Canis lupus familiaris: one gene and its partners. The protein of the gene in region 4 purifies or fractionates together with the protein of the main gene of each other region. This does not show direct contact. Links are inferred from orthologs where the notes say so. Each region holds a gene or a part of one and is shown on either strand. Other genes may lie near its edges. The genes, in order: DDX17, DDX39B, DDX5, FUS, SMARCA4, SAFB and ZNF326.

What was found.
Region 1: the proteins of FUS (region 4) and DDX17 purify together in Homo sapiens (affinity purification with mass spectrometry; 5 studies listed by BioGRID and IntAct, with this or other methods). This does not show direct contact. The link is inferred for Canis lupus familiaris from reciprocal best matches to the Homo sapiens genes FUS and DDX17.
Region 2: the proteins of FUS (region 4) and DDX39B purify together in Homo sapiens (affinity purification with mass spectrometry; 3 studies listed by BioGRID and IntAct, with this or other methods). This does not show direct contact. The link is inferred for Canis lupus familiaris from reciprocal best matches to the Homo sapiens genes FUS and DDX39B.
Region 3: the proteins of FUS (region 4) and DDX5 purify together in Homo sapiens (affinity purification with mass spectrometry; 5 studies listed by BioGRID and IntAct, with this or other methods). This does not show direct contact. The link is inferred for Canis lupus familiaris from reciprocal best matches to the Homo sapiens genes FUS and DDX5.
Region 5: the proteins of FUS (region 4) and SMARCA4 purify together in Homo sapiens (affinity purification with mass spectrometry; 3 studies listed by BioGRID, with this or other methods). This does not show direct contact. The link is inferred for Canis lupus familiaris from reciprocal best matches to the Homo sapiens genes FUS and SMARCA4.
Region 6: the proteins of FUS (region 4) and SAFB purify together in Homo sapiens (affinity purification with mass spectrometry; 3 studies listed by BioGRID and IntAct, with this or other methods). This does not show direct contact. The link is inferred for Canis lupus familiaris from reciprocal best matches to the Homo sapiens genes FUS and SAFB.
Region 7: the proteins of FUS (region 4) and ZNF326 purify together in Homo sapiens (affinity purification with mass spectrometry; 3 studies listed by BioGRID and IntAct, with this or other methods). This does not show direct contact. The link is inferred for Canis lupus familiaris from reciprocal best matches to the Homo sapiens genes FUS and ZNF326.

What each region holds. Positions count from the first base shown.
Region 1 is NC_049231.1:27,280,914-27,285,692, forward strand, and holds the start of DDX17 (probable ATP-dependent RNA helicase DDX17), read left to right. Parts: upstream 1-1,801; coding exon 1,802-1,942; intron 1,943-2,280; coding exon 2,281-2,573; intron 2,574-4,779. UniProt on the Homo sapiens protein: As an RNA helicase, unwinds RNA and alters RNA structures through ATP binding and hydrolysis.
Region 2 is NC_049233.1:1,178,493-1,183,147, reverse strand, and holds the start of DDX39B (spliceosome RNA helicase DDX39B), read left to right. Parts: upstream 1-1,462; coding exon 1,463-1,673; intron 1,674-2,475; coding exon 2,476-2,603; intron 2,604-2,899; coding exon 2,900-2,992; intron 2,993-4,655. UniProt on the Homo sapiens protein: Involved in nuclear export of spliced and unspliced mRNA. Component of the TREX complex which is thought to couple mRNA transcription, processing and nuclear export, and specifically associates with spliced mRNA and not with unspliced pre-mRNA.
Region 3 is NC_049230.1:14,622,494-14,625,432, forward strand, and holds the end of DDX5 (probable ATP-dependent RNA helicase DDX5), read left to right. Parts: intron 1-1,031; coding exon 1,032-1,256; intron 1,257-1,482; coding exon 1,483-1,886; 3' UTR 1,887-2,189; downstream 2,190-2,939. UniProt on the Homo sapiens protein: Involved in the alternative regulation of pre-mRNA splicing; its RNA helicase activity is necessary for increasing tau exon 10 inclusion and occurs in a RBM4-dependent manner. Binds to the tau pre-mRNA in the stem-loop region downstream of exon 10.
Region 4 is NC_049227.1:17,226,703-17,230,773, reverse strand, and holds part of FUS (RNA-binding protein FUS), read left to right. Parts: intron 1-465; coding exon 466-610; intron 611-803; coding exon 804-994; intron 995-1,192; coding exon 1,193-1,400; intron 1,401-3,009; coding exon 3,010-3,044; intron 3,045-4,071. UniProt on the Homo sapiens protein: DNA/RNA-binding protein that plays a role in various cellular processes such as transcription regulation, RNA splicing, RNA transport, DNA repair and damage response. Binds to ssRNA containing the consensus sequence 5'-AGGUAA-3'.
Region 5 is NC_049241.1:50,648,018-50,652,088, forward strand, and holds part of SMARCA4 (transcription activator BRG1), read right to left. Parts: intron 2,442-4,071; coding exon 2,192-2,441; intron 353-2,191; coding exon 220-352; intron 1-219. UniProt on the Homo sapiens protein: ATPase involved in transcriptional activation and repression of select genes by chromatin remodeling (alteration of DNA-nucleosome topology).
Region 6 is NC_049241.1:54,774,082-54,778,668, reverse strand, and holds the start of SAFB (scaffold attachment factor B1), read left to right. Parts: upstream 1-1,447; 5' UTR 1,448-1,586; coding exon 1,587-1,775; intron 1,776-3,907; exon of another isoform or gene 3,908-3,949; intron 3,950-4,587. Other genes in the region: SAFB2 (scaffold attachment factor B2), read right to left, coding at 919-1,104. UniProt on the Homo sapiens protein: Binds to scaffold/matrix attachment region (S/MAR) DNA and forms a molecular assembly point to allow the formation of a 'transcriptosomal' complex (consisting of SR proteins and RNA polymerase II) coupling transcription and RNA processing.
Region 7 is NC_049227.1:59,115,056-59,119,126, reverse strand, and holds the end of ZNF326 (DBIRD complex subunit ZNF326), read left to right. Parts: intron 1-2,276; coding exon 2,277-2,648; 3' UTR 2,649-3,458; downstream 3,459-4,071. UniProt on the Homo sapiens protein: Core component of the DBIRD complex, a multiprotein complex that acts at the interface between core mRNP particles and RNA polymerase II (RNAPII) and integrates transcript elongation with the regulation of alternative splicing: the DBIRD complex affects local transcript elongation rates and alternative splicing of a large set of exons embedded in (A + T)-rich DNA regions.

The DNA of each region.
Region 1 (4,779 bases), on a different chromosome or scaffold from region 4:
ATACTGTGAAAAGCCTTATGAAGACAAAGGAGCTATGAGATGCTATAGATAGGGACCTGATCTAGTAGCAAAATATGATTTTTCCTCGACAAAACAGAGGGAGGGTTTCAGTGGACCTAACTTAATTTATAAATTATTTATAAAGAGAGCCTCAGATTTAATTAGCCTATCTGCTAAATAGGCAAAACAGTCTGAATTATTCCTTAAGTGCCTGTACAGTCTAAATCACAGGAGCTTGTTTTGTCACTCCTACAAGGTTTATCTTTGAGACTTACCTTCATATCCCACCCATTAGCAAATCATTAGCTACATTTTCAATTAGACCATGTCTCCTTTACCCCTTGCTATTAGTCTGCACCGAACCCCATCATCTCTTGCCTAAACTAGTGCACTAGCTTCCTAATTAGTCTACCTGCTTTTGCCCCAACTCACTCTCAATTTATTCTCTATTCTGTAGTCATAGGGGCCCTTTTATTATGTCACTCTAAAAACTTTATAGAGATTTCCATTTTACAGAAAGGAAAAAACAAAGTCCTTACAGCAGCCTACAAATCCTTCAAATCTCTCCCGTCTTTCCTCATTACAGCCCGCCACGGCCTTTGCATGTGTTCCTTCCTCTGCCAGCAAAGCTAACTCCCTCCCTTTAGGTCGCTGCTCAGATGTCACTGAATTAGAGAGGCCTTCCCCCAGGTCACCCCATGTAACACCGTGACATCCATACACTCCCCTCCCCCACAGACACAGAAACACTATCCCCTTTCCTCGCTTTTTCTATTTTAATCAGCAATCTTTATTTTTTAGTTAGCAATCTTTAAATAACATAAAGATTCATTGTTTTATTCCCCCCCATTGTGGTATAAAGCCCATGAGGGCAGGAACTCACGTGTCCAGTGCCCTCTGCCCCAGTGCCTAGCACAGTGCTGGGCTGATGCAGTGTTCAGCACAGGTCCAGTGGTTCCAATTGTCCATCTGCGCTACGGCCCCAAGGACCTCTGAACGGCTTGTCACCAAGCTCCTTTCCTTGAGCTCCTTTTGTCATAATTTGGGAAACATTTACAACCAAGAGACAACAGCCCCCACAATGAAGGACCTCGAATCCCGCGCCCCCGCCCCCCTCCCCCATCTGTAGAAATAAACAAAAGAGACATCAGATGAGCAGCTCGCGAGGGCCTTAGCAGCTCAACAATTCTGTGACGCTGTCTGGCCAGGTTTGTGAGACCGTCAAGCTCAGTCTGAGTGAGGAGGCAGGAAGTTGGAAACCAGCGTGGAAGGAACTGAGAGGAACATGCTCCGGCCTGGTTAAAAACACGTGCTCAGGCCTTCACCTTCTCTGTGTCGAAAGGCCACGGCTTTTAACCGTCCTCGCCCGGGGAGGGCGCTGAGGGCCTGCCAGGACCTCCCGAGGCAGCGCCGACGAACGGAGACCATGGGACCCGGGAGTCTTCCTCAACAGGGGCTCCACCTGCGTGTTGGTTCTTTGTTAGCCAACTGCGCTCAGCCCCCGACCGTGAATATTCTGCTCAGAAAACGCACTTCGGTGTGAACCAAGCGTAGCAGGGAGTGCTTTAACCTGACTGGGACCTCGTCCGCCGACCACCTCCCGAGAGAACCGACAAGGAGCATCCATCATGGCTGCCGGCAACAGCGCAGCGAGAGGCAACCGAAAGAAAATGGCGCCGGGGCGCGCGGCCGGTGACGGCAGGCCCAGGCCGGCGGAGCGACCCAGGGACGCCATCCAGGAACCCTGAAGACCCGCCTGGACCCAAGGCGCCGGGAAACCCTGACACTTCACGACTGCAATATGGAGGACGGTTATTGTGTCTGCAAACCAACTTGCACAAGGAGGCCCGTGTTCCGTCCCGCGTTCGGAACCCGGCAAAATCTTCTATTCTCCAAACAGAATGCGTTACGCACACTGCGCATCTTCGCAATAGTGGGCCGGGTAACGACGCAAAGAATGTTACGTCGCACCGGAGGCTCTTCCCCTCACCCCACCCCACGTTCTAGTTCAGGTGGCGCGAGCACTCTACGCCCGCTTCGTACTTTATTTTTCTTCTACGGACTGCAACATGTGCCGGTCTGCGCAACTGACGTAAATGGCTTCCAAGAATGCCCTTAGTACTCCGCCAAGCCCTCGGGCTATTCCAAGACGCTGTTTACGTATCGTCTCCGACGTACGTAGCGTTAAGCTGGAGCAGTCTCAGCGCCGGCCGCCATTTTGTGCAGTCGCTGGGAAGGAAGGAGACGCCTAAACCGCGGCACTGCCGGGTTTGAGCGTAGCCAAACCTACCCACAGTTTTTATAACCCCGATTCTCTGTGTTTTGCTCCCGTCTCCGACGAGAGAGGCGGCGACGGTGGCGTCTGCGACGGGAGACAGCGCGTCGGAGCGAGAGAGCGCCGCGCCTGCCGCCGCCCCAACAGCGGAGGCGCCGCCGCCATCGGTCGTCACCAGACCGGAGCCGCAGGCCCTCCCGAGCCCGGCCATCCGTGCCCCGCTCCCAGATCTCTATCCGTTTGGGACCATGCGCGGAGGCGGCTTTGGGGACCGGGACCGGGATCGTGACCGTGGAGGGTAAGGGGGGAGGGGGAGAGGGAAGGCCTCGCGTGTGCGTGGGCCGGGGGGAGGGGGAAGGTTGTTTCCTGAGGAGACCGCAGCCTGCCGCCGAGCGGGAGACCTGGAGCGGACTGCAGGCCTGGGAGCGACGCCCCCGACTCCGGGAGGCGAGGCGACCTGGGACATAATAGCGGTTTGGTGTGCGGGCCTGCGGGTGGGCCTGCGCCCCGGGATCACGGGAGACCCGGCGTGGGGGGGCGGCCTGGCGACGCCCCAGCCCCTCCTTTCGGACCGCAGTCGTGGCGGGGAGCCGGAGCGGCGGCCCGAGCGCCGCAGACCCAGCCTGGCCTCGCCTCGCCGCCCGGCTGCCGGGCCCGGCCGATTTGGGCAAGTCATTTGATCTCTCCAGGCCTCAGCGCTCATCTGTAAAACACGGATGTTCTTGCTGAGAAGAGGAGGAGGTCTCCGAGTTCGGCCTGGGAAAATCTTGACGCCAAATGGCTTCCCTTATCTTATCTGTCGCCAGAGATAACTGCTAAAGGAACTGGAAATCGAGTTGGAAACTAGACGCCAAATGGCTGATTTCTAGTTTTAAATGTATCTTAAAATCCCCTTTAGTGGTATTTCAGATAATTCGAAGGAAGCACTTTGGACAGTAAAGCAGTGGAATTGTTTGCCATCTAAATGATCTTATTTGAGGAGGGGAGGGAGGGTTTTTTGTGGGTTTTTTTGTTTGTTTTTTTTTTGGTTACTGTAGGGTTCCCTCCCACCCTGTGTTCTGTTCTTCTCCAGTTGGACTGGAGTATTAGTTGCTCGGCCTGGTTAGAAAGTTTCGATGCGATAATGCCACGGCTGAAAGTTAACAAGATTAAAGTTCTTCCCAGATACTGAGATTCAGATCTTAACATAAGTTAAAGGGAAAAGTTGCCTAAGAGATGCGAATGTTCGTGCTGTTAACTTTTTGTAATAAAGGTCTTATCTCTGGATAAATAATAATGGAACGCCAGTTATTAATATATATACATATGTGACCTTGGGCAAGATCCTGGACCTTTTTGTGAGCCTATTTTCTCAACTGAAGATGGGCATAATAATTGCCTTTACTTTGCATTGTTTTCGGGAATTGAGATCTATGTAAAATTGTGTCTTTGTGATAGGTGTTCTGTTGATATTTTCTCCAAACATTTTTGTCTTTTGCGGTTCAAATACAGAAGTCCCAGACCTCTAGTCATAAGCACCTCAATTCACTTGAATTGCCGAATAAAAAGGATTATTTTGTTTATACCTTGTTAGAAAAGAAAATATTTGATCTTAGTGTTAAATTTGGAGGGCTAGAAGTGGAATGTTTGCTTAGAGTTTCACAGTATAGCTCAATTTAGAAGTGAATTTCAGTGCAACCACTTGAGACAAAGAATTTTTGACATTACCTAGTAGAAAATGACCCAATAATTCCTTTCTTAAGCTTTGTACCCTAGACACAAGCCTAGAGAAATCATTGTACGTGTTCCCCAGCATTCATGTACAAAAAATGTTCATACCAGCACTGTTCATGAAAATATTGGGAACCACTCTTCTGTCTAGATAAAGGGTGGGTATTCATTACAGTAGAATGTAACACAACCGTGGAAGAAAAAAAAAAAAAACTTGCATCAAAATGGATGACCAGCAAACATTGAAAAAGCAAGTTGTGGTAAAAGGATACGTATATGACCGGACTCCAAAAAGCAAAAATCAAGATGGTAGTTGTAGTGGGTTTGTAAACTTGAAATAGGCACAGAGGGCTACCAAGGTACTGATCATGTTCTGTTTCTTTACCATACCATAGGTGTTTGGTTTAATACTTAATTTCACCATATACATGTTTTAACAAATTATTTGAAAAGAAGAAAAAGTAAATTACTGATCCATATTTCTACCCCATATTGACTATCAGATGACATTTTTTTTAAAGCTTTAAACTTTTCACACAAAATGGCACTTTTTCATGATGTTTGTGTCCTAATTCTACATTTACCATGAAATTGCATTTATGATTTTGAGTTACTATATTCTTAACAATTACAGAGCCGAAATAGATTATTTTGAAGAGAATAAAAGTGAGGTTAGTGTATATGTGTACATGTAAAATCCAAAAGTGATGTGCCTTGTACATTTAAACTAGCATGATATTGCACATTAATATAAATCTTCAGAGTTGTGTTTATTGCAAAGCAAAATTAAACTT
Region 2 (4,655 bases), on a different chromosome or scaffold from region 4:
AGGGTCTTCTTCCGGTCTCCTGCGCCTGCGTGCTGGCAGGCGGGAAGGCGAGGCGCCTGGGAGAGAGAAGGCGAAAACCGGAAGTGAAGGCAGAGTCCCTCTTTCGTCGCTGCTGCCGCCGCCATATGCGCTCGCCTTGCTCAGGTAAGCTTTGGCCTTCGGTATCATCCGCCTCCATCTGCGTTTCTTTGCGGCCATCCTGTTCCCTGGACTCCTGATACCCCTTCCACAGACTATAGTCTGGTCCTTGGGGCCTAGTTGGGTCATTATTTCTATTGCTTGCATCCCTTTTCAGAGCTCTTAAGAGTTTCTGGAGGGGGGGGTAGCGATGCTAGGGGGCCCAATCCAAGATGGTGGCCCCAGCGCCATTGTGTTCCCTTCGCTCACTGCTTCTTCGCTTGGGCTTCTCGTTTATCCGAGGCCCTAGCTATGGTGAGAGGCGGCGTAGATGTCCTCTAGTCCAGGGCATTTGCGGAGGGCGGGGCTCCTTTCACTTTTCCTCTCTTCTGTGGGTCCTCTTAATGGCCCAAGGTGGGAACTGGAGGAGGAGCCGACTACTGAGCCTGGTTGGACCCTTCTGTGAGCTCACCAACCATCACTTGGAACATTTTCCACTTGTTCATGCGTGGTGTCATGTCGGTTATCGGAGAGGAGTCTGATCTGAGGAGTAACAGAAGACCCTTTGCTATAGTTCCTGGTAGAGCTGGAGCGAATGCTGTCTCTCTCTCGTTCTATGGAGAAGAGACGAGTACTTTCCCGTCCCAGCCACGTCTTCTGTATCCCCTCCCCCACGTTACACGGGGACCCCTTAGACACCGGGAGGTTCCTGAGGAGTGGGAGGTGGATGGCAGCCACATGATGTTATTTCGAGGAGTGAGCGCTTTGCGCTAGGATGACCTTAATCTATCACCAGTAACTGATGGCTGCTTTGTTAGGGAGATTACTAGGAAAGCAGAGAGGTCCTGTGAGGATTTTCAGCACTTACCTTGTCATCTCCATTCTTCACTCCGTTGTCCTACTTTGCTTTTCGTTACCCGTTTTTCTTCATTACTGTTGCTTACAGATGAGGAATTCATGGGCTGGTTGTCCCCTTCCTACTTCCTGCTTAATGCTATTCTGATCCTAATTTTGTTGAAAAGTTGTGTCTCAACCACCTCACTTGGGACCACTGTGTTATGTTTGCTGTTGCTTTTATGTTTTGTGTTCCTGTTAGTTTTATCCCCAGGTAAAGGGGTCACAGTTTAGGGAAAGTGGGAAGAGTGTGGGGATGGAAAAGAGGGGCGAAGGCTCTGCTCCTGACTAATAAGTCCTCCATCTATTTTTTTCCTAGCTCTTCTATCACAAACTAGGGTATTTTTTTTTTTTAACTGTTGCTCCAGCCCCCACTCTCCTCCTCTGTTTTTACTTATTCTGCGTGAACCCATCCAGAGACCCATCTCCTTCTCCCCCTGCCGGCCCAGTTATGGCAGAAAATGATGTGGACAATGAACTCTTGGACTATGAAGAAGATGAAGTAGAGACAGCAGCTGGGGGAGACGGGTCTGAGGCCCCTGCCAAGAAGGATGTCAAGGGTTCCTACGTCTCCATCCACAGCTCTGGCTTTCGTGACTTCCTGCTGAAGCCAGAGTTGCTCCGGGCCATTGTTGACTGTGGCTTTGAACATCCATCAGAAGGTAAATTTTCTGCAGGTCATAGTGTTCACTAGGCTCTCTAAGGATACAAGAAAAAGGTGTGTTAAACAGTCACTTAATGTAATAACGTTCTTATTTAGGCTACTTTAGGAAATAAAGGTCAAAAACTATTTCAGCAGTAGGAAAGATTTATATAGATTGGTTTTTTTGTTCACGATAACATGAAAAGGCTAGTGACCTAAAAGCAACTTAGAGGTTTGTGCTTGTGACCAGCATTTATTCTTGTCTACTTGTTATTAATTTTGTTGTTTAGGTTTCTAAATTTGAATTTCCTGAGAGGACTGGTTGGACCTTTAGTCTCTCCCTGTTGGGCCAGGCCACCTCTGGTCTCTGGAAATCTTCATAGCTGGTCTAAAATGGGTGGCTTCTGGATCAGCTACCAACCCCTTCAGAGTTGCAAGGTTTTGTAGCCTTAAAGCAAGGGAAGCTAAGTAGGAGAAATGGCTTGGGGCAGGCAGTCACATGTCCTGGATTGTTACAGATCAAGGAAAGTCGGGACAGAGTCAGAAGCACCAAAGGTGAACTGTTGGTAGGTGCAAGAGGGTTGTTTGCAGTTTGTGGGGTGGGGGGAGGGCACTGGAGTTGGAGGAGGCTAAAGCTAGAAGGAACTAGGAAGGTCTATCTGGTTTTGAGATAAATCTGAGGGAGCAGAGAGGTAGAAGGGGTCTGGAAATTGATAACCATTTAAGAAGGGGTGGGAAATGGGTTTGACATGGTGAAAAAAGGTTGTGGAGTTATCTGGAGACTGAAGTCTAATTTATCTTTTTTCTCCCCCTGCTTCTAGTCCAGCATGAGTGCATCCCTCAGGCCATTCTGGGAATGGATGTCCTATGCCAGGCCAAGTCAGGGATGGGAAAGACAGCAGTGTTTGTGCTGGCCACACTACAACAGTTGGAGCCAGTTACTGGACAGGTACACTTGGGGAGAGTGCTATGGAAGACATTTTTGGTTAGGAATATTGGAGAAGGGTGTTTTGTCTCAGCTGTGTGATGCTTTTAGAGCCATGAGTGTTTGTGGCTAAGATGAACTCTGTCACCTTTGACTGATGGCCCTGGGGGATATTACATAGTAATCATGGGGTTAATGGTTTAGATCTCAGAATTGAAGTAATTTATGATCTGTCAGATGTGCTTTTGTGACAGTTGGTTCCCCAGAGGGGATAGTAAGTATATACTGTTTATCTCCATGTACTCCCCCCTCCACCCAAGGTGTCTGTGCTGGTGATGTGTCACACCCGGGAGTTGGCATTTCAGATCAGCAAGGAGTATGAGCGCTTCTCTAAATACATGCCCAATGTCAAGGTAAGCCAAGATAAACCTGGGAGAGTGTGGGGAGTTGGAGACATTGAAGACTTGTAGACCAGCAGTCTTCATTTTCTCAGATGATTAATTAACTTTATATGAAGGTCATTTACTTGTAATAGCTGGTCAGTTTCTGCAAACTTTGGTGTGCAGGAGATTTACATTCTATGGTTTACTTGAATACACATTGCAATTTCTGATATGTTCACTATATTCCAATTTTGGAGAAGCTTTAGTTTGTTCTTAACACATCATGTTAATATAGCTAGCAGCGGAAGACTGCATGGAATGGGTTCTGGAGGATGTTTACCACAGTACTACACTTGGGTTTACTACTTTTTTATACTGACTTTGAATGATTTCATTGTGCTTTGGTTGACAGTTTGAGAATTCTAGGATGTGTGCAAGAGAAAGCTGGAAGCTTCAAAATATCTCTTTAAGTGTGTGGTGTGTGAATTTTGAGGATTCTTTAAAATGGCAGAAAATTGAAAGATATTTAGGGGCCACAACAGACGAGGTTTGGGCGGTTTTCCATATATGATCTTGATTTTCATAGTATGGTTCCCAGACCTCTAGTTAGAGCATCATTTGGAAGCCTGATGGAAATGCTGATTATATGGGTACCATCCCAGACCTAACTGAGTATAAACATGCATTTTATTTTGTTTTGTTTTATTTTATTTTATTTTATTTTATTTTATTTTATTTTATTTTATTTTATTTTATTTATTTATTTATTTATTTATTTAATTTATTTTTTAAACATGCATTTTATTTTTTTTTTTTTTTTTTTTTTTTTATTTTTTTTTAAACATGCATTTTAATACAATCTTCAGGTAATTGGAGTTTGAGAAGCGCTGATGTGTATAACCTCCTACCTTCCTGACTAGGATGTGGTGAAAAACAGTACTTTTGTTTGGATTGTTGTGATATTCTCCTGTTACTCATGTGTTGAGTCCTAGCCCTAAACTAAAAATAGTAATTCTTAAAAAAGATTTTATTTAAGCGAGCAAACACACACGAACGGGATGGGGTCGGGTGGGGAGGGAGGTCTAGGGAGAGGGAGAAGCAGACTCCCCCTCTAAGCAGGGAGTCCCACATGGGGCTATATCCCAGGACCCCTAAGATTGGGACCTGAGCTGACACTTAGCGGACTATGCCACCCGGGCACCCCTAAATTGGAAGTAGTCTTAAGAACCAAAGTAGTAATAAATAACAATGTGGGGGTAAACATGCAGTAAATATGCTGAAGTAATAGAAGGTTCATGATGAAAAGATTTGTGTTCTCTTACCTCTAATCGAACTTCATAGAAGGTAATCATTTGTTAACCTTTTTTTTTTCGTTATGGTTCTGTGACACCAAGTATTAGGTACTATTCTCTCGTTTTATAACCTTATGAGTGTTTTTTATTTCTTTTCATGAGAGATTGGTTGCGATTTTTTTTTATATTTGAAGATTAATTCTTTAACAATAATTTAAGTGTCATATCTCCTTATGTTGTAGCTATCCTTAGCATTTCTTTTATGTCCTTTCATTGAGCAGGCTCGATGGCCTATTGATTCTAAAAAGTGGAAAACCAGAAAATGGTTTCCACTGTTATGACCATTGAAACATTTATTGTTGGGCTCATTAGTGAGTGAGGATTGTATTTTGACCTCTGTA
Region 3 (2,939 bases), on a different chromosome or scaffold from region 4:
AGAGGTGAAAAGCTGAAAGTGTGCCAGTAATCTTCAAAAGGCAGAACATACCACCTCTGCCCCGTAAACTGTTCTCTCCGGGGGAAAAAAATGGAAGTTATCCTCACAGTTCACTGCCGTGGTATTTCTTCTGTCCCATGCTTTGCATGACTGCCATGGTACAGCATTGTTTCAAACTGTTTACTGTGATCTGTGGGTCTTTGAGTTTCAGTGAGTTTGCTGAAATGTTGAAGAAATATTTCCAAACTTCAATGTTCAATGAAATTTTTGTTCAAGTTTGAAATGGAGAGAGCAGCTTTAAAAGGTACTAAGCCTTTTACAAATTGGTGAGTACTGGCACATGAGATCTAGAGCAGGAGCAACTTCTCACACTTAGTCAGTGGGAAAAGAAAGCAGTGCTTTGAAAGTTCCTCCCTCACCTACACAGTAGTCGTCATGTCGAGACCTGCCAGAGAGAGACACATTCTCAAGTGAATCCTGGCTTCTTGGAAGCGCTTGCCTAGACGAGACACAGTGCATAAAAACAACTTTTGGGGGACAGGTATGTTTTTCTTGCAGCTGCGGTTGTAAGGTCTTGGCAAGACAAGCAGTGTGGCCAGAATTTTGAACTTCTGATGAGTGTGTAATGCAAAGGACCATGTACATTTTTGTTTAAAGGTCCTCAAAATGAGCACATGAAGAGGTTGCTGTGAACCTTTAAGTGGCCCTACTGCGCAGAAGCATTCAGATGTCACTTGATGATCTGTAAGGGGACTTGCTGGTTTGGGAATATGTTAGAGAATACACGTCCTTTTGTTAGGTGCTCTGTCATTGGGTGGGCAATGAGACAGGTAGATGGTGTGTGCTTTTTTTTTTTTTTCCTTCCAACCTCAATGGTATTCCTACAGGGAATGGATAACCATTTTAACTGTATTTTTTGCAGCCCGTACCTTCTTGGGAATACAATTGTCTAACTTTTTATTTTTGGTCTGGCTGTTGTGGTGTGCAAAACTCCGTACATTGCTATTTTGCCACACTGCAACACCTTACAGATGTGGAAGATGTGAAATTTGTCATCAATTATGACTACCCTAACTCCTCAGAGGATTATATTCATCGAATTGGAAGAACTGCTCGCAGTACCAAAACAGGCACAGCATACACTTTCTTTACACCTAATAACATAAAGCAAGTGAGCGACCTTATCTCTGTGCTTCGTGAAGCTAATCAAGCAATTAATCCAAAGTTGCTTCAGTTGGTCGAAGACAGAGGTTCAGGTAAGACTAACCTTCATTAAGAAATGTTGGTGATTTTGGGGTCACATGATTGTCTGCAAATCCATTAAATGGGATTGGCAGGTGAGTAAAATCTTCATATGAAACTGAGAAAACACTTTAAACTTTGAATAGAGCTTCTTTCTAATTTTTTCTGTACTAGTAATGATTTGTGCTGTGGAAATAATCAGCTTGCAATTCTTTTTTTTTTTTTTTTTTTTTTTGACAGGTCGTTCCAGGGGTAGAGGAGGCATGAAGGATGACCGTCGGGACAGATACTCTGCGGGCAAAAGGGGTGGCTTTAATACCTTTAGAGACAGGGAAAATTATGACAGAGGTTACTCTAGTCTGCTTAAGAGAGATTTTGGGGCAAAAACTCAGAATGGTGTTTACAGTGCTGCAAATTACACCAATGGGAGCTTTGGAAGTAATTTTGTGTCTGCTGGTATACAGACCAGTTTTAGGACTGGTAATCCAACAGGGACTTACCAGAATGGTTACGATAGCACTCAGCAATATGGAAGTAATGTTCCCAATATGCACAATGGTATGAACCAACAGGCATATGCATATCCTGCTACTGCAGCTGCGCCTATGATTGGTTATCCAATGCCAACAGGATATTCTCAATAAGACTTTAGAAGTATATGTAAATGTCTGTTTTTCATAATTGCTCTTTATATTGTGTGTTATCAGACAAGATAGTTATTTAAGAAACATGGGAAATGCAGAAATGACTGCAGTGCAGCAGTAATTATGGTGCACTTTTTCGCTATTTAAGTTGGATATTTCTCTACATTCCTGAAACAATTTTTAGGTTTTTTTTGTACTAGAAAATGCAGGCAGTGTTTTCACAAAAGTAAATGTACAGTGATTTGAAATACAATAAATGAAGGCAACGCATGGCCTTCCAATAAAAAATATTTGAAGACTGAATTAAGTGGAAATTGTACTTTATTTTACATCTATAATGTCATGTAAAACTTTGCTTAGATGGTCTGGTTTGATTTTGTTTTTTTTTTTTAACCATAAAAACTAAATTAACTGCTCCTTTCTATGATTTAGGTTTGGGAAGTGGGGAGAACAGAAGGCCCTTCTTAAAAATGATCTATTTATATTGCAAGAATTAAATGAGATTAAGTAAATTTACAATTGTAGGCTAAGTTGTATTAAGGCTTTCTGCCAGTACCTCATCAGGTGAGTCATTTAATAGCCTATTTATTAGCAGAATGGGGAAGTGAGATTAAAATAGGACATAATCAACTGTATAGCCCCACCCTCAAACTGCTTAGTGTGAGAACAACGTGGATGACTTTATTTCTTCGCAAAATTTTATATTTGAAAAGCTCCAAATAACTTGATTTTTCAGAACAGTTTATAGTCTTGCTCTTGGCTCTAATGTGAATTAGCAAAATGGTGAACAAAGCTAAGACTTTAAATTTATACAGATTGTAGTCTTCAGGCTCTTGGGACATTTAACTGTAGTTGACACTGGGAATCATGAATGTCTTTACCATAATTCAGGGAACTCTAGAGGAGTTTAAAAACTGGAGGGTCTATTCATATTCAAACAAAACCCCGTGAAAGTAAATGAATGATGAACCAAGAGGAAGCAACATAACCAAAAGCACAGTGACTTATACAAGTCGTCTTAGGTCAACATGGGTTTTTATTGCTAGAAAGGTC
Region 4 (4,071 bases):
GGAATAGGAATCTCTTGGGATGGGATGCCTGGGTGGTTCAGCGGTTGAGCGTCTGCCTTTGGCTCAGGGCGTGACTCTGAGATCAAGTCTCACATTGGGTTCCCTGCATGGAGCCTGCTTCTCCCTCTGCCTACATCTCTGCTTCTCTCTCTTTGTGTCTTTCATGAATAAATGAAATACTTTTTTTTTTTTAAAGGAATCTCTTGGGTTATGAATAGTATGGTCCTGGAGACTGGCTTTGGGATAGGTGTGATGAGATTAGAACTCTGAAGTTGGTGGAAGTTAAGAATATTAGCCTTAGGGTGGGAGGGGAAGGGCATCTTTGACCTTTAATTTAAAAGATTTCCAAGCAGCTTCCAAGAGGCTGACTTTTCAAGTGTGGGTAACAGTAGTAGTACATAAAGTTTTCTTTAACTTGTTTCCTGCCTTTTTTCTCAGAGTCTTTATGATTTCTTTTGCTTGTAGCAGGCTATGGCACTCAGTCAACTCCCCAGGGATATGGCTCAACTGGTGGCTATGGCAGTAGCCAGGGTTCTCAGTCATCTTATGGGCAACAGTCCTCTTATCCTGGCTATGGCCAGCAGCCAGCTCCTAGCAGCACCTCGGGAAGGTAAGGAGTTTGAGGGGGAGGTTTGGAATATGGTTAGAGGTGAATTGATAAGGAATGATGTGATCAACAGGAGCAATTAGGTGGGGGGAGAGGGAGGAGTCTTTGTAATGGAGTGGGGTAGGGAATGGAATGCGCCAAAGATGAAGTCTTGGACGTGCTGGCATTCTGATTCTGTTTGTTTCTCTTTCCTTAGTTATGGTAGTGGTTCTCAGAGCAGCGGCTACGGGCAGCCCCAGAGTGGGGGCTATGGCCAACAGTCTGGCTATAGTGGACAGCAGCAAGGCTATGGACAGCAGCAAAGCTCCTATAATCCCCCTCAAGGCTATGGACAGCAGAACCAGTACAACAGTAGCAGTGGAGGTGGTGGCGGAGGGGGTGGTGGAGGTGAGGGGTCTTGAGCTTTGCATCATTCCTACTTTTTGTAGAGATTTATATATACTGCTTGGCCCCTTAACTCTAAAAAATTCTTAAAATTTTTTTTTCTTGTTTCTTAGCTGTCTTTATTTTCATCATTCTTAATCTTTTGGTACTGTTTAATGCCACGTGTGTTTTTTCTTTAAAGAATCCTTTGTTTTCTGACAGGTAACTATGGCCAAGATCAGTCCTCCATGAGTGGTGGCGGCGGCGGTTATGGCAATCAGGACCAGAGTGGTGGTGGCGGTGGCTACGGGGGAGGCCAGCAAGACCGTGGGGGCCGCGGCCGGGGCGGTGGCGGTGGTTACAACCGCAGCAGTGGTGGCTATGAACCCAGAGGTCGTGGAGGTGGCCGTGGAGGCAGAGGCGGCATGGGGTAGGTGTTCTTGTGAGCTAGGGCGTAACATCAGTGGGGAGTGTGAAGGGTTGCATGAATCTCCCTTGAAGCTCAGTTCCTTAGTGCATGGTTAGTTTTTTTTCTAGGGGTTTGTGAGGGCTTAGAGTTGGGGGTATTGATGGTTTCTTTGTACATTCCCATTTTTTTATGAGAATTGGGGAGCCTGAACTCCCACCCACACCTCTGAATAGAGATTTGAGTACTGACACTTGTATTTCCAAAGAAGAAGGGAAAATATACATGGGTGTATGTGGATTGGAGTCATTGATATCCTAGGCAAAAAACATGGAAGTAAAGTCTTCTTTCGCTGCAAGGGAAACCGATGATCCCACTCCTGGTAATAGGGAAACTTGTTTACATGTATTCCCATGTGTCCTCTAAAGGAGTTGCTAATGCTTAACCTCATGACTTCAGCTTCCAGGAATTGGCTACTCTTCCCGTATATTGTAGTCATTTGAATCCATGAGCTTGATTTGCAGTAATTTGACTGGCAGTAATGATTTTGTGTGTGACTTGGTTTATGGGGCTGTCTGAAGTGTGCAGGCCTTTTGGACAAAATATGCTTGACAGTGGTGTCCCATCTCTTTGCTCCACTGTCCCCCTCCCCTGGTTACTTGTCCAGCTGGACCTTCTCTTTCTTCCCCTTCCCGCTGTAGTTGATTGAAGTAAAACCTTAGATTTGATGTTAAAGCATTGGTCAAATCTGTTGGTAAACATGATTTGAAGGACCCTCCTCTGTCTCCCTTTGAAAGGGGAGGAATGTCAGTGTGTTACTCCTTTTTGGGAAAAAGTAGGTTTTTTAAATGAGAGTTTGTATATGGTAAGTATTCAGAGGTGGGTGGGGGCAGTCTCAAAAACCATACGAAAATAAGGAAAACTCTGTTGTGTGCGTGTGTTTAATGCAAAACTTTAAAAGAAAAACAACTGTTATGTGACTGTTAACTTGCTCTGCATTTTATGTGCCACAGGTATGAAAGGTGACATTGCAAAATACTCCGCTCTTCTCGCAGTGTAGAAGGGGTGACCCCGGGGGTGGGGGGAGATCAAAAACAGCTCAGTAGTTAGGATAGGGCTTAGCTAAGTTTGTCTTGCTTTAAGGGGAAATTGCCTTTGGTTTTGACTTTTTATGGAATGGGGTTGGGTCTGCTTGCTGCTTTCAAAGCAAAAACCACAAAAATGTGTTCAGGGCTACCCCAGCCTGGTGTGAAATGTCTTCTGGGTGAATTGGGGGTAGGGTTTTTAAACCAACTACTGGGTTGTCCACCACTCACGACAAGAGGAAAAAACATCTGCTACATCGGAAGAACGACCAAGGAAAATGGGTCATTTTTTTTTCCAGAGGAAATAGATCTATAACCTTTTAAAAAGCAAAATCCTTAAAAACTGTGTGAGAAATTGCACACGTGTGTGTGACATGCTCAAAGGTCAGACAAGGGGTGGTCAGGAAGGGAAATGTATTTTAGTAGCCACTTGTATCTTTTTCCCAAAACACCTACCCATGTTTGGGGAATGTTAAACAAAATCAAAAAAACGCCCTTTTGTAGCCGTTGGAAGCTTCATGTCCTTTCTTCTAACTTGTCTTCTCCAGCGGAAGTGACCGTGGTGGCTTCAATAAATTTGGTGGTAAGTGAACAGAGTTTCCAAAATTCCCAACTCCCAGCAATGCTTTGTCTGATTGTTCATTTGCAGATGTTTTAGCGTGTTTTAAGTGTCAAAAGGTTTTGAAGTGTCCAGAACCACCTCCAGAAAGGGGTGGGGGAGAATGCCACCTGCTGCCAGTTGTGTGCTAACCTGGAGGCAGGGGAGTAAGACTCGGCAGTCGTCTGGTGCCAAATTGGTTTGACCCAGGTTACTAAGAGGTGTTTAGTAGGCCTCTGACAGGAGTGTTGCCACACCTGGCACTTAGTGACCACCATTTTGAGAAACTGGAGAGTGTGCTGGAACACGTGGTGCCAACTTGGCTTTAGGATCCTTTTGATCATTGTGTCCAAGGCTAGTGTGTGTGTATTTAACAACCTCCAAATGTTTTAATTCTGGAAGGGGGATGTGAACTATTGCCCTGCCCTAGGGATGGTGAAGTTGGTATATATGTATCTATATATTAAATACTGAATGGTGTCAATGCAATCCTACATATACATACTTAACTCAGATGGGCAAATAGAGACTAGCTCTGGGAAGGAAGGTGTGGACAACTACAAAGAAAGGTTGGGAGCATGTGTGGCTCATGGGAAATAACCAGGTCTTAACAGCACAAACTGAATTCATGGAAAAATGGCAAATTTGAGAAGTCTCCCAGTAAGCTGGAACTTTTCTGGTTTGGTTAACTAACAAAAGGTTTCTTGATTTGTCTCAACATTTAAAGCCAAAGGCTTGGGTTCATGATTTAGGTGTCATTGAGTGTGGGTACAATATTTATATATGGTGAATTCAGATAAACTTTGGTCAAAGATGGTCTCTGGAAAAAAAATAGAGGCTGCATTATGGAAATAAGATTTCTGGTCTGTTCCCTGGGACATGCTTTAAAAATACAATAGTTATTATGTATGTTTTTTTATTTTCATGTGGTTGGGGAAACAACATGGTTTTAAGAATGGTTTGTAAAGATGAAATTAAAACTTGTTCCACAAGGGATAAATAAGTGTCTTTG
Region 5 (4,071 bases), on a different chromosome or scaffold from region 4:
TAGGCCCAAAACAGGCACTGGCCAAGTCCAAGCTCAACAGCCGTCTGTGGCAGTCTCCCACAGGGCTAAACTGTCCTGGGTCTACCCTGAATCCACCTGTCTACCCTGAATCCACCTGTGGGAGACCAGGAGACCCAATTAGGAAAATGATGTCAGGACATCCAGGGTTGAGGGGAGGAGCTTAACAAACACAAGGAGAGAAGAATAATGAAACAGTACCTTGGGAGTGCTGGTCCATGGGGCTTGGCGGGGGCCCCATCCCTGCATGGGCCCCTGACCGCATCCCCATTCCCTTCATCTGGTTATAGCGGGGGTCATCCGACATGCCCTTCTCATGCATGGACTCCATTGGCTGTAAGAGGGGTCAATGACAAGGCAAGATCAACAAGAGGGAACAGGAAGAGGCAGCATGCAAAGTGCTACCGAAGAGTTCACTGCCACTGAAAATGTCCGCCCAAGGTCGCCCTGGTATGTACTGAATCACCAATGTGACCAACCAGTTTAGGTCCAAGCCATGGTCCTGACACCTGCTGGTCTCAAGCAGATGCATGAAGCAATGTCACCTAGGGACTAGTGGCCTGGAAGTGAAGGGAGAGATGGATCAGGGAACCATGAGACAGTTTCAGATGTCCAAAATACCATGAGGAAAAGATGTGAGCTCCTGCATGAGGAGCTGTTTTGGTTGGGACACCAAGCTCTCCACTAATCGTTACAAAGAGACCTGGTGACCACAAATCTTTGGATCAGAAACCCTCTTCCTTGGGAGACTATATATCAAAGGGACAGACAGAAATTTCTGCCTAGAAGTATGATTGCAATACGTTAGGTGTCCTCACTGATCTGCGATCGGCCTCCAGCCTACTAGTTGGGAGGAAAGCTGTTTGTGGTGTGGTTCTGTCCCTCCTAAGAGGCACATCAGACCTCTGTAGATTGATGACACCTATTTTCTCTCCTAAGGCTCATTCCTAAGGGGACATTTTCTAAGACCCTTCCAGGCCACTCTGCTAGGCCCTGATTGGCACAAATATCCTGGTCTCCAGGAACTCAGTCTAAAGGGTGGTCCAGCAAAGTCAACTACAGCTCAGTGTGTACCATAAGAGAAGGAAGAGAGGATGAAGAGAGGGTGCTTGGTGGCGACCACAGGAGCAGCTTCATATGCAGGAAAAGGGTGGGGCCCTCAGGAAGCTGCAATCTCTGCAGGCGAGGGGTGTCTCACTACCATCTGGGTCCTAACACCAAGCAGGACAAATAGCAGCTGTCTTGCAGACCTGTGGAGTATGTGCAAATGACCCCAAGAGGAAGAAACGAGGTGGACAGAGAGGGAAGGAAGCTGTGCTGGAGAAGCCAGACTAAATGGGGGGGGGGGGGGTCAAGTCACCAACAGCTTCCCAAGAAGGAAGTGACAAGAAAGATACTATGGACAGAAATGTGCAGGAGATGGAGAGGCAAAAAGGGCCAGAGGGATGAGATGACTCACCACTGACCATCAGATGGTAAGTGACCATCTCTCCGGGACCCTAGGGACCCTACTTCCTCATCACCTACCTCTGATGGACAGGGGGAGATTTAAGTGGAATAGGGTACAAACACATGGACAGCCCCAGAAGGGAGGCTGGAGGGGTCAGCAGAGACCCCTCACCTCTGGGCCGCACAATGTGCATTTTCTATTTTCACACAAAGGGTGTCTTGTGGTCTCTGAGGCTTGAACATGTTACCTTTTCCTTTAGATGCTGATACACCTAAGACATTTCTTTGATTTCCCCAACTACCACCTAAGAACATAGTGAGAAAGGAAAACTATTTGTGTTGAGGTTTTTCTCTCACCTCACTGGCAAAAGCACCCCTGATCAGTTCAAGAAGTCATTCAAACAGTGAGTGGCACCCAAGTGCAGGATTGAGTGCGGATATAGAGCACCCATGGCCTGCTCTGTAAGTTACATGGGTGAGCAGAGCAGCCCAATGCAGGAAACCATGTGACATAAGGAACTTTTAGGGATTTGGACATGTTTATTTATTAACAAGAGGCAACTTTGGAGCAGTGTTACCACATCTCCCATTTGGAATGAAGGGCATGGGAGACACAAAGTAGGGAGGCTGCTGGCTCACAGCAGAAGCCAGGATGTACTGTTTACCCTCCCATCTCTGATCACGTTGACCCAGACCATCAGGGTGGTGGGCCCAGGCTCCCTACCTTGTGCATCTGGTGCATGTTGTCCTGAGGGTACCCTCCAGGCCCCTGGGTCGGGATGGGGTGTCCTGCTGAGGGAGGTCCCGGACTGGGCCCCATCATGCTGTGGGCAGAGCCAGGTGAGGGACCTGGACTAGGGCCCAACATGGCTCCAGGGGAGGGTCCCGGGCCCGGGGAAGGGCCTGGCCGAGGAGTTCCGCCCAGGGGTGGGTCTGGAGTGGACATCTTCACAGGAGCTGCAGACAGTGGTCTCCTGTTAGAAAGAAGTCCTGGTCAGTTTGGGGATCACGGCCATCACTAGGGCACCAGAGCTGGCAAGGGAGGACCACATGTACAGTATTGTGAGAAGCACCCATCTGACAGAGCTGGCACCTTTGACGTGCAACCCCCACCCCCACCCCCACCCAGACCTTCCATCGCCATTCTTCTCACAGAAGAGAATACATCAGGCATACAAAATCATATCAAAGGTCCCCGAGGAAGGGATGGGACTCAGGAGGTGGAAGTCCACGGCCACTGCCCCACTTGGGGTCTCACTTCCCTTGCTATTATTCTGATCACAACAAAAAGAATGAACATCTCAGGGTAGTACAGATACATCCTTCACACCTAGTACTTGCCATCTTCCTATTTACAAGGAAGAGCAAGACTAACACTCAAAGCCTCTGCCGGCAACCGTGTCCAAGTGGGCCTTCATAAATTCAACAAAAACAAATATTCACGGCAAGTGATGCTGGTTTTTTACTTAAGGCAGTGAGACCAAGTTTCTTTTAAAATAAATGAAAGTTGGGGATCCCTGGGTGGCGCAGCGGTTTGGCGCCTGCCTTTGGCCCAGGGCGCGATCCTGGAGACCCGGGATCGAATCCCACATCGGGCTCCCGGTGCATGGAGCCTGCTTCTCCCTCTGCCTGTGTCTCTGCCTCTCTCTCTCACTGTGTGCCTATCATAAATAAAAAAATAAATAAATAAATAAAAATAAAATAAAATAAATGAAAGTTTAAAACATAGATTCATTTAAAGTATTATACAAACAATGGCATTCTGATATCTCAAACAGTTCTACAGCGATATTCACGTGTCTAAAGTTAAATGAATGTTGCCAAAAACTAAAAATTGATACCCAGAGCATCTACAAGATCCAAAAATATACTTAAAAAAAAAAAAAATCTAATGATGATGGTAAATTTTGCTTGCTACCACCGGGCCATGAGCTGGTAAATTTTATACATGCTTTCTATAATAAGGCTTCAATGTTCAGGTAACTCTCAACCTACTGTGTAGTTATATATAGCCTGAAATAAATTCTCTTCAATCTAATAACTTCTTTCATGACGGTGGCATAATAAATACATTTGCAGGGCTGAAATGCAGAAAATGCAAAAAGAACACAGAAACTTAAAATCACCCAGCATCCCACGAGACACAGAGGTGAAATGCTTGCTGCCCTGCAAAGAGCAATAAGCAATCCTGCTCTCCTAACCCCAGCTAGCAGGGCAGGGAAAGGTGCAGAGTAGGAAGAAAGGGTTGGGGGTTGCCTCAGTGGGTTAAGTATCTGCCTTCAGCTCAGGTCACGATCCCAGAGCGCTGGGATCCCTGCTTAGTGGGGAGCCTACTTCTCCCTCTCCCTTTGCTGCTCCTCCTGCTTGTACTTTCTATGTCAAATAGATAAATAAAATCTTAAAAGAAAAAAAAATAGAGCTGAGCAGTGCAGGGTGGGCCCTCTCAGGGTGGAGAGCTGCCCTCCTGTTACTGCTGGGACCCCACCACACTTCACTGTCTCCTTTCTAGACTATTCCACACACAGGCGCGAGTGCGTGCGCACACACACGCACACACACACACACACTCAAACAGTATTACTCAGCACATTCTAGGCAAGCTTT
Region 6 (4,587 bases), on a different chromosome or scaffold from region 4:
GAGTGGGGGCTCCAAGGTGCGGGTCAATGACCAGGTCCAAGCTGGCCCTTAAGCTAGAAACTGCCCCACCTTCCGCTTTAGTAAGGTGAACAGGAAGGGGCAAGGCACTGGGTCTACCACCTACGGAGGAGGGCTGAGTGGTGTTCCACCAGCTCGGTCTGACACTTGGGGAGAAAACCCACTAGACAAATGGGGTAGGGGGTGTGTGCCTGGCGGAGGTGGGGAGGGAGGGAGGCGGCTCTTCCCCAGGACTGCCGCCAGCCTGGGCACTCCGGGGTCAACTCCAGCTCTGCAAGGAGCTCGTCTGGGTCGGGCAAGACCATCCCTCCACACTCAACCTGGGGCTGAGGGCGGCCAAGCGGGGCATCAACGCAGGACGGTGCAGGGTGGGAGGCGAGGGAAGGCGCACCCTTCAGGAAGGACCCTGGGGAGACCCGCTAGGACCTCAGGGCGCCGAGCAGGAGAAGAGCAGCGGAGCGGAGGGCACGACCGGAGCAGAGCTCCTGCAGGGGGAACAAGCACGACTCCCTCTCCGGGAAGATCCCAAAGCCTCGTCACTCCTCTGTTCTCCAAACTGAGGCGCGGGGAGCAGAAGGCACCTACCCAAGGTCACGGACCCGGGTCCCCCCCGCGCTGGGGCCCGGAAGGAGCCGAGGGGCCGCCCGGTGGCCCGAAGGACGCGCTGCCAGCACTGCCGAGGCGACCAGCTGGGAGCGGGAGCACAGGCGAGGCACAGAGAGGGGCGGTGACGGGCCAAGGTCACACAGCCCGGCCGGCCCGGCCCCCGGGGCCCCGCGGGCTCAGTCCCGGGCGGGAACGGTGGAGGAGAGGCGCCCGCGTCCGGGCGCCGCGGTGACAGGCCCGCGCGGGGGCGTGCCCCGGCCCCCCGCTGCGCCCCGGGACGTCGGGCCGCCTCACCTTCTTGAGCCGCTCCATCAAGACGCTCTTGTTGCCGCCCGTGTCCAGGTTCCGCTTCTTCAGCTCCGCCCGCAGGTCGATCACCCGCAGGTCGCTCAGCCGCCGCGTCCCGGCCTCAGAGGCGCCCGATCCCACAGCGGCTGTGCCAGAACCCGACTCGCCGGACCCTGCCAGAGTCTCCGCCATCCCAGGTTCCGCGTCCCCCGCCACCCACTTCCCACACCGCCGGCGGCTGTAGCGGCTCTGAGCACAAAATGGCGCCGCCTAAGAGGAAAACGCACTCGCTTCCTCCCGCCCCGCTTTCCGGCCGCGCATGCGTGCCGCACACGCCAGCTTTCTTAACAGCACGCGCCCTCGCGCGTCGACCAACCGCACGTTCCCCGCCGCAATGCGCAAGCGCCGTAACTGCAGCACGCATGCGTGACGGCCGTGCGCGGCGGGAGGCTGTCGACATGCAACGCGCCTGCGCACAGCCCTTTGAGCGCTCACCACGCATGTGCACACGCGACCGGCAGCGTCGGCTCCGCGCCGGGTGCGCCTGCGCAGAAGAGAGGCGCGCCAGGGCGGCTGGAGCGGTTCCCTCGCAGGCGGCGCCATTTTGTGCTGGGTGCCGAGATAAAACCGGCCCGGTTCTGTGTGAAGTGGGCGGCGGAGCCAGGGTCCCTGGAATGGCGGAGACTCTCTCAGGCCTAGGCGATTCGGGTGCGGCGGGCGCAGCGGCTCTGAGCTCTGCCTCGTCGGAGACCGGGACGCGGCGTCTCAGCGACCTGCGGGTGATCGATCTGCGGGCGGAGCTGAAGAAACGGAACCTGGACTCGAGCGGCAACAAGAGCGTTTTGATGGAGCGGCTCAAGAAGGTGGAGCGGGGGCCCTGCGGGGGCGGCCGCGGCCGGGACGGGGGGGGGCTCCGGGCTGCTCCCCCGGCTCCTGCCAGGCCCCGGCGGGATCTCCCCGCGCGGCGGGGCTCCGGGGGAGGGAGGAGAGTCCGGGCGCGAACCGGCGCGGGCGGCGGGGCCTGGCGGGCGGGGGCGCCCGCGGAGGGCCTGGCTCTCGGCCGCCCCCGAAAATGACGGGGAGCCCCCGCGCCCCGGCTTCCCGGGCGAGGTGGGGGCGCCTCGGCCAAGGTCACACGGCCGTGCGGACGGGGCGGCGGGACTGGGACCCGGGCCGGCCGCGGGGCTCCCTCCGGGCCCGGCAGGGTCGACGCGCCGGGCCCATGCTCGGAGGTGGTTTTTTGTTTTTTTGTTTTTTATAAATGTGAATGCTGCAGCCGTGGGTCGGGGAAGTGGCGCGGAAAGTGAAGTGCTGTCTGCGATGGCGAGCGGGGACGGAACAGACGCCGGCGGGCGGAGCGGTCCGTCCCGTCCCCGTCCCCGCGCCTGGGCTCCGGCCCCTGCGGCTCTCCGCGGCCTGGCCCCGGGCTCCCAGCGCTCCCAGGGCGCCTAGCGCCCTTCCGGCCCGTGTATTCTGCAGGGAAAAGGGGAGAGCGCGCTTCCGTGCTATAGGATTAGGCGAGATTGCATGAAACGGGCCTGGCGTGCCGCCTGGCACAGGACGGAGAGGATCCCTGTCCCCATTGGCCGCCCTCCTCTGTGCCACCGTTTATCTGCAAAACCGGGGCCCTCATCCCTATCCTGGGGGGGGGGGGGTGAAAAGCACGAGCAGTTCAATGTTCGGGTCGCTCTGCTTCCCCCCCCCCTTTTTTTTTTTCATATCCTTGTTGGCTTCTTTGCTTTTTCTGTCGTTCAGACCCCCCCCCCTTTTTTTTTTCTCTTCTTGAGCCTTCTCCCGTGCAATCTCAGGCTCACCACCCCCAACCCCTGCAGGCAGTGTGATTTGCGACTCCTTCCACCCTCCTGGCTCCCGATCTGAGGACCCAGGCAGGGTATTAATTATTACTGGTGACTGTTAAGGGGAAGTAGGGATTGTTTCCATTTTCCTGAAGGAGAAAGCTGGGGCTCAGAACGGTGGGTTGGTTAAGTTCAGAGTCAGTTGGGCTTTTCTGGCTTGAGCTTGTGTTTGTTTCACCGTGGATACCAACTTCCTTTACTACTCGGGTTGCGGCAGGTAATTCATCAACTAAGGTGTTCTAGAAAGGATGCCACCAGGGCCCCCGGTCAGCAAAGCCAAATTGGGACCCTTATCTCTTTCGGATGGCATTGAGAACCTTCCCGTCAGATTGGTAGTGGAAACGGGCCTGTGACTTCAAGGATCCTCCCTATCATTTCTGAGGCATTTTACATTTCTTTTTTCTGTTTATTTTCTCAGAGGTATGGTCGTAGTATGTAAATATCATTGGTCTGTACGTTTATCTGCTCTCTTATTGAGTGCATCTGGAATTGTTGGTCATTTTTTCTTTTTCTACTTCTGGCATATAGTTAGGGTCCTTTTTCTGGTCATTTTTCCAGGAAGGGCAAATGAGGAAAAGGCTGAAGGAACACAAAGAGTGTAGTTTCCCAAGCTTTATAAAGATGACTCATAGCCCACAGCGTCCCTAGGGATGATCCTGTAAACACTGCACCCAGAGAAGACCTATTGAGGGGCAAAATGGTACAGCTCTTGTCTGGGGCAGTTCTCTCTTCTCCTAGGGGTATTCCATAGTCCTCTTTTGCCAGCAAGAATGGGAGGGACTTTCTGGTTGTGCTTTCCTTGATTCCAGAGCAGAACTCCCAATTCCTTTTCCTCATGCTGGCTTTGGAGAAAAGGGAGAAATTTTCTCTGTTCCTGGTACAGATTAGATGTGGAGCCCATAAGCCCCATTGCAAATTGAGACTTCCACACTAAGAAACTGCTGAGGATCTGAAATTTTTTAAACTATCTACAAATTAAACATGCTGTTTGAAGTGTATTTTTAAGATTTTATTTTATTTATTCATGACAGACACAGAGAGAGAGAGAGGCAGAGACACAGGCAGAGGGAGAAGCAGGCTCCATGCAGGGAGCCCAACGTGGGACTCGATCCCGGGTCACCAGGATTACACCCCGGGCCGAAGGCGGCGCTAAACCGCTGGGCCACCAGGGCTGCCCTGAAGTGGGTTTAAACAGAACTTGTGTTTATAGAATAGTACAGTAACAAGAAAAAGGGTTATCAGTAAAGCCTAAAAGCAAAGCCCAGTATTCAAGGATATCACTGATGTCATGCTCAGTAAACATTTGCTGCTCACCTCCTTGGTGCTACGCCCTGTGCTGAGCGTGGGTGCAGACTGTTCAAGGGAATGATGAGCTCTTGGGTGGGAGGTGGGGCTTGCCCAAGAGGTGGTTATAACTCCCTATCCTTTCAGGTAGGTCCCCTAGTGGTTAAGAACAAGACCTTTGGAGTCAGTCATAGATGTGGGTGATCTGATGAAGTGGTATGGGTCATGTCCAGTCTCATGGCACACACAGTACATCTCAGCCAAGTGAGTAAGCGTTCTGTCCAGACAGTGCCAAGAGTAGGCATGGGGATAGAGAGGATGTCACAGAGGGTCGAAGCAGCATATTGCTGGGTGAAATCATAGGAAATGGAAGACTGTGCTTTTTGAATTCCCTTGGGTCCAGGAATAGGATGAACTAGATTGTGGTGACGTTAGCATTAAGAAATAAGTTGACTTCAGAGCCTTTGTTCCAAGATAGAGCAAGACAACAAGTGGGTAGGGGGAGGCCCTTTCCAGATCAGCAACCTGAAGTTTC
Region 7 (4,071 bases), about 42 Mb from region 4:
GTTTATTTTATTCGTCTGCAACAGGCATGCTTATAATCATAAGGTCCCTAAACTAAAAACGACTTAACCTTTCATACTCTGCCCCTTCCCATCTTACCTTTCTCTTATCACTGTACTTTAAAAGGTAGTTTATCTTGCATTGCGCTCTCTAATTTCTCTATATTATCCATTCTTTAACCTGGTAGTTGTCAGTTGGAGATGGGTAATTAGAATTCCTTGTGAAGCTGAAATCAAACAAAAAGCTGCCTAGGCCCCCTTTAAGACCTTCTGAATTAAGAGTTTCCCAAACTTCTGATTAATATCTCGTGAAGTGCTTCCTAAGTATGCAGTTCAGCAGATCTCTCTCCTGGAAATTTTCATTCAGAAAGTCTGAAATTGATTCAGGAACTTGGGTTTTTAGCGAGAACTCTTAATTCTTGACTGAATTAGAGTCTCAGAGTGTGGAACGTGGACTTGTGGTTTTGGGGAGCTTAGAACAATAATGAAGATTTACTCTTGGGCAGTCATTGCTGTCCGATTTCATGTACATCTACTTTTGGATCTGCTCTAAGATAACTGGTGACTTAATTTTCAAATACGTTTTTTTAACATTTTGTTATTTACTATTTTAAACATACAAAAATAAAAGGGATAGTGTAATAAATCCCTCAAGTACCCTCATTCAACCTTAATAATTATCAACTCTAGTGACCTTTTTCAGTTCTTTTCTAGTATTACCTGTTTTATTTGACACTGTTAATCTGTCACTTATTCTTGTAACTTTGTTTTGCTGGATAATATTTTACTATCCTGAATTTCCTCCTGCACTTTTTTTTTCTCTCTAACTTTTGTCCCTGTGTATAGGCATTGAATTTTCAGTGGGTTTTCTCATCAGCGCTTTTATTCTTACTTCCTTGGCCCTTTTATTCTGCTTATTTCCCTGGCTTCAGTATTCACTCTGTGCAAACAATTCACAAATTTAAATGTCTTACTTTGAACTCTCTTGAATTGTGAATTTACAGCTGCCTCTTAGACATTTAGACATCTTAAATTCTAATTATATAAAGCATATATTTGCTTCTTCCACTTTCCCCATCTTAATTTACATATTCTGTTAATATGCTGCTACATCTTTTACACTTTCCTGAATTATTAGAGTAACTCCCTCACTAATATTTCTTCTCTTGCAACTTCAGTTCATCCTATGCTTCCTACCTGATGGATCTTGAAGTAGAGTACCAGTCTTTTTTTTTTTTTAATTATTTTTAAAAACATTTTATTTATTTATTAGAGAGACAGGTAGAGGGAGAGGCAGGCTCCACGCAGGGAGCCTGATGTAGGACTGGATCCCGGGTCTCCAGGATCCCGCCCTGGGCTGAAGGGAGTGCTAAACTGCTGAGCCACCAGGCTGCCCTAGAATACCAGTCTTATACTTTACTGTTTAATAAACTTCATCGCCTCTTCATTTCTTACTGTATTAATATAGCCTTCTGATATGGCCTATGAGACAATCCAGACACATAATTCAAGTATTTATAAAAATTAATAAAGTTGTATCTGTGAATGTTAGTAAATTACAGATTTTTAAAAAAGATTTTATTTATTTATTTGAGAGAGAGACCACAGGAGTAGGGGCAGAGCTGGAGAGGGATAGGCAGACTCCCTGCTGAGCAGGGAGCCCAGTGCAGGGCTCGATCCCAGGACCCTGAGATCATGACCTGAACTGAAGCCAGATGCTTAACCGACTGAGCCACTCAGGTGCCCATAGTGAATTAAATATTTATCTACTTTCCATAAAGAAAAAGTAAGGTGTATCCAATAGGTACCTGATTTTCATTCATTTGAATTTTTAAAAAGACCTGATTTTCATTTGAGTGTTTTATAGAGATCCTGCCACAGTAGGTAGTAGATTGAATCGTGGCATAATTTAGTAGAACATAAATCTTTGCTTTATTTACTTTGTTCCTACTAAAACTCACAAATTTACTTTTGTCATATGATTTTAGAAATTCAGTTAGGAAAATGTGGCCTTTGACTGTTCCAGTTTATGGAATGTATAGTAATGCTTTTAGTAATTTATATACCCATAGTGATATGAAAATAAGTACTGAATAGATATTTAGTGGATTTGTCATAAGTTAAAATAAAAAGTTTCAAACTGTATTTATTTTTAATGTCATAGCAAATAAGTTCACTGATAACAAAGATGAATGTCCTGCTTTTATTTATTTATTTATTTATTATTATTATTTTTTAATGTCCTGATTTTAAAAGCTGTTTTTCCTTATGCTTTTTAGGGTGAGAATCCTTTTGAAATTCAAGATCATTCTCAAGATCAACAAATAGAAGGAGATGAGGAAGAGGAAGAAAAAATTGATGAACCTATTGAAGAAGAGGAGGAGGAGGAGGAAGAAGAGGAGGAAGTGGGGGAAGTAGAGGAAGCAGAAGAAGTGGAGGAAGCAGAGGAAGTGGGAGAAGGAGGAGGAGAAGAAGGAGTGGGAGACACAGAGGAAGCAGGGGACATAGAGGGAGTGGGGGAAGGAGAGGCAGTGGGGGAAGGTGAGGCGGTGGGGGAAGGAGAGGCAGTGGGGGAAGGAGAGGCAGTGGGGGAAGGAGAAGCAAAGGAAGAGCCTGTTAACTTCCCTGTTGACCAACCTGAAGAAAATTAAATATACGGTGTTAGATTTAAAAGAAGCTTTAAATTTCTCTCCTAATATGGAAAAGGGTAAGAATTTTAATAGTTTAAAATATGAGAATTAACACCCATGTTGCATGCATTCCACACATTCAAATTTGTTTTATATAATTTCTAAATGTTTGCCATTTTGTTTAATAAAATGAAGGTAAGACTATTTTAGTTTAGTTTTTATAGCTACCAAACTTAGATTAGATAAATTGTTTGTATAATTTTTAAGCTTAATTTTTATTACTTTATTGGTGTTAAGGATAACAGATGTGTATTGTTAGTATATCTACTTAATCATTTGAACTTAAATGCTGCTGTTGGGAGTATATATTCAAGTGTGCATTAATGTTTTGAATACTTACCCTAGAAGAGATAAATTGGGCAAGTATTTTGTGCTCTGACTGTGTATTTTTTTATGGCATTGGACATTGAATAGTAATTTGCGTTAAGATACGCTTAAAGGCTTTTTGTGACCATGTTTCCCTTTGTAGCAATAAAACGATTTTTACAAAAACCTTCCCTGGATTAGCAATTTTAAATGAAACCATTAATCAATTAAATGAGTAAAATGAGGTTTTGCCTTAATGTAGGAATTTAGCTCACATAAATGAGAAGAGTTGAATTAAAAAAAATTACTTCAATCATTTTTTTAAAGTACTACTAAAATATTTTTTAGCATATTTCAAGTTGAGGTCAGTCTACAACTGACTTGTTTATACTTGTTTTAATTCCTTTTCTTTGTGCCTGTGTCAGATCTTGAAATCTTCTTGAAAATACATTTGGATACAAATGATTTTTATAGTTGTGTTAGTTCTTTTGTCGTGTCTGTTTTTAGCTGAAGAACCAAGAAGCAAACGATCTCTTTTCTAAAAAAGAAATATTTCTCTCTCGAATATTTTTTTTTTTTTTTAAACTTTTTGTAGTTTGTAGGCTTACATACACTGCAAAAGAAGATGAGATTGATAGATGGTCTATTTTCACATGACCATCTCTGTCACTGAAAAGTAGTGCTCTTGTTTCTTTGAATCTTTATTCTGGCTTCTTTTGAGAGGGGGACTTGCAGTGAAATAAGTTAGCTTCTCAAAATTTTGAGGTATTGAGTGGATGAATATATGGGAATATTATGTAATTTTAAAGCATTAAGTGCATGAACATGTAGGCATTTGTAGAATTTCACAGGTAATTTCTCTTTTTGCATACAAAGCATTTAAAACTGCATTTTGGGGGGCTAATATGGGTTCATTGTTGGGAGCTGGATTTGTTTATCTTTACGCTTTAAATCCTTTGTATCCACTTATAGGGATTTATAGCCAAGTAAGAGAAGGTTAGTTGAAGACTGGAGAAATTTGGATCCCAGCTAAGAGTCTGATATTTAAATAGGCTTCAGAAAGCCTTTGTGCTCAGGA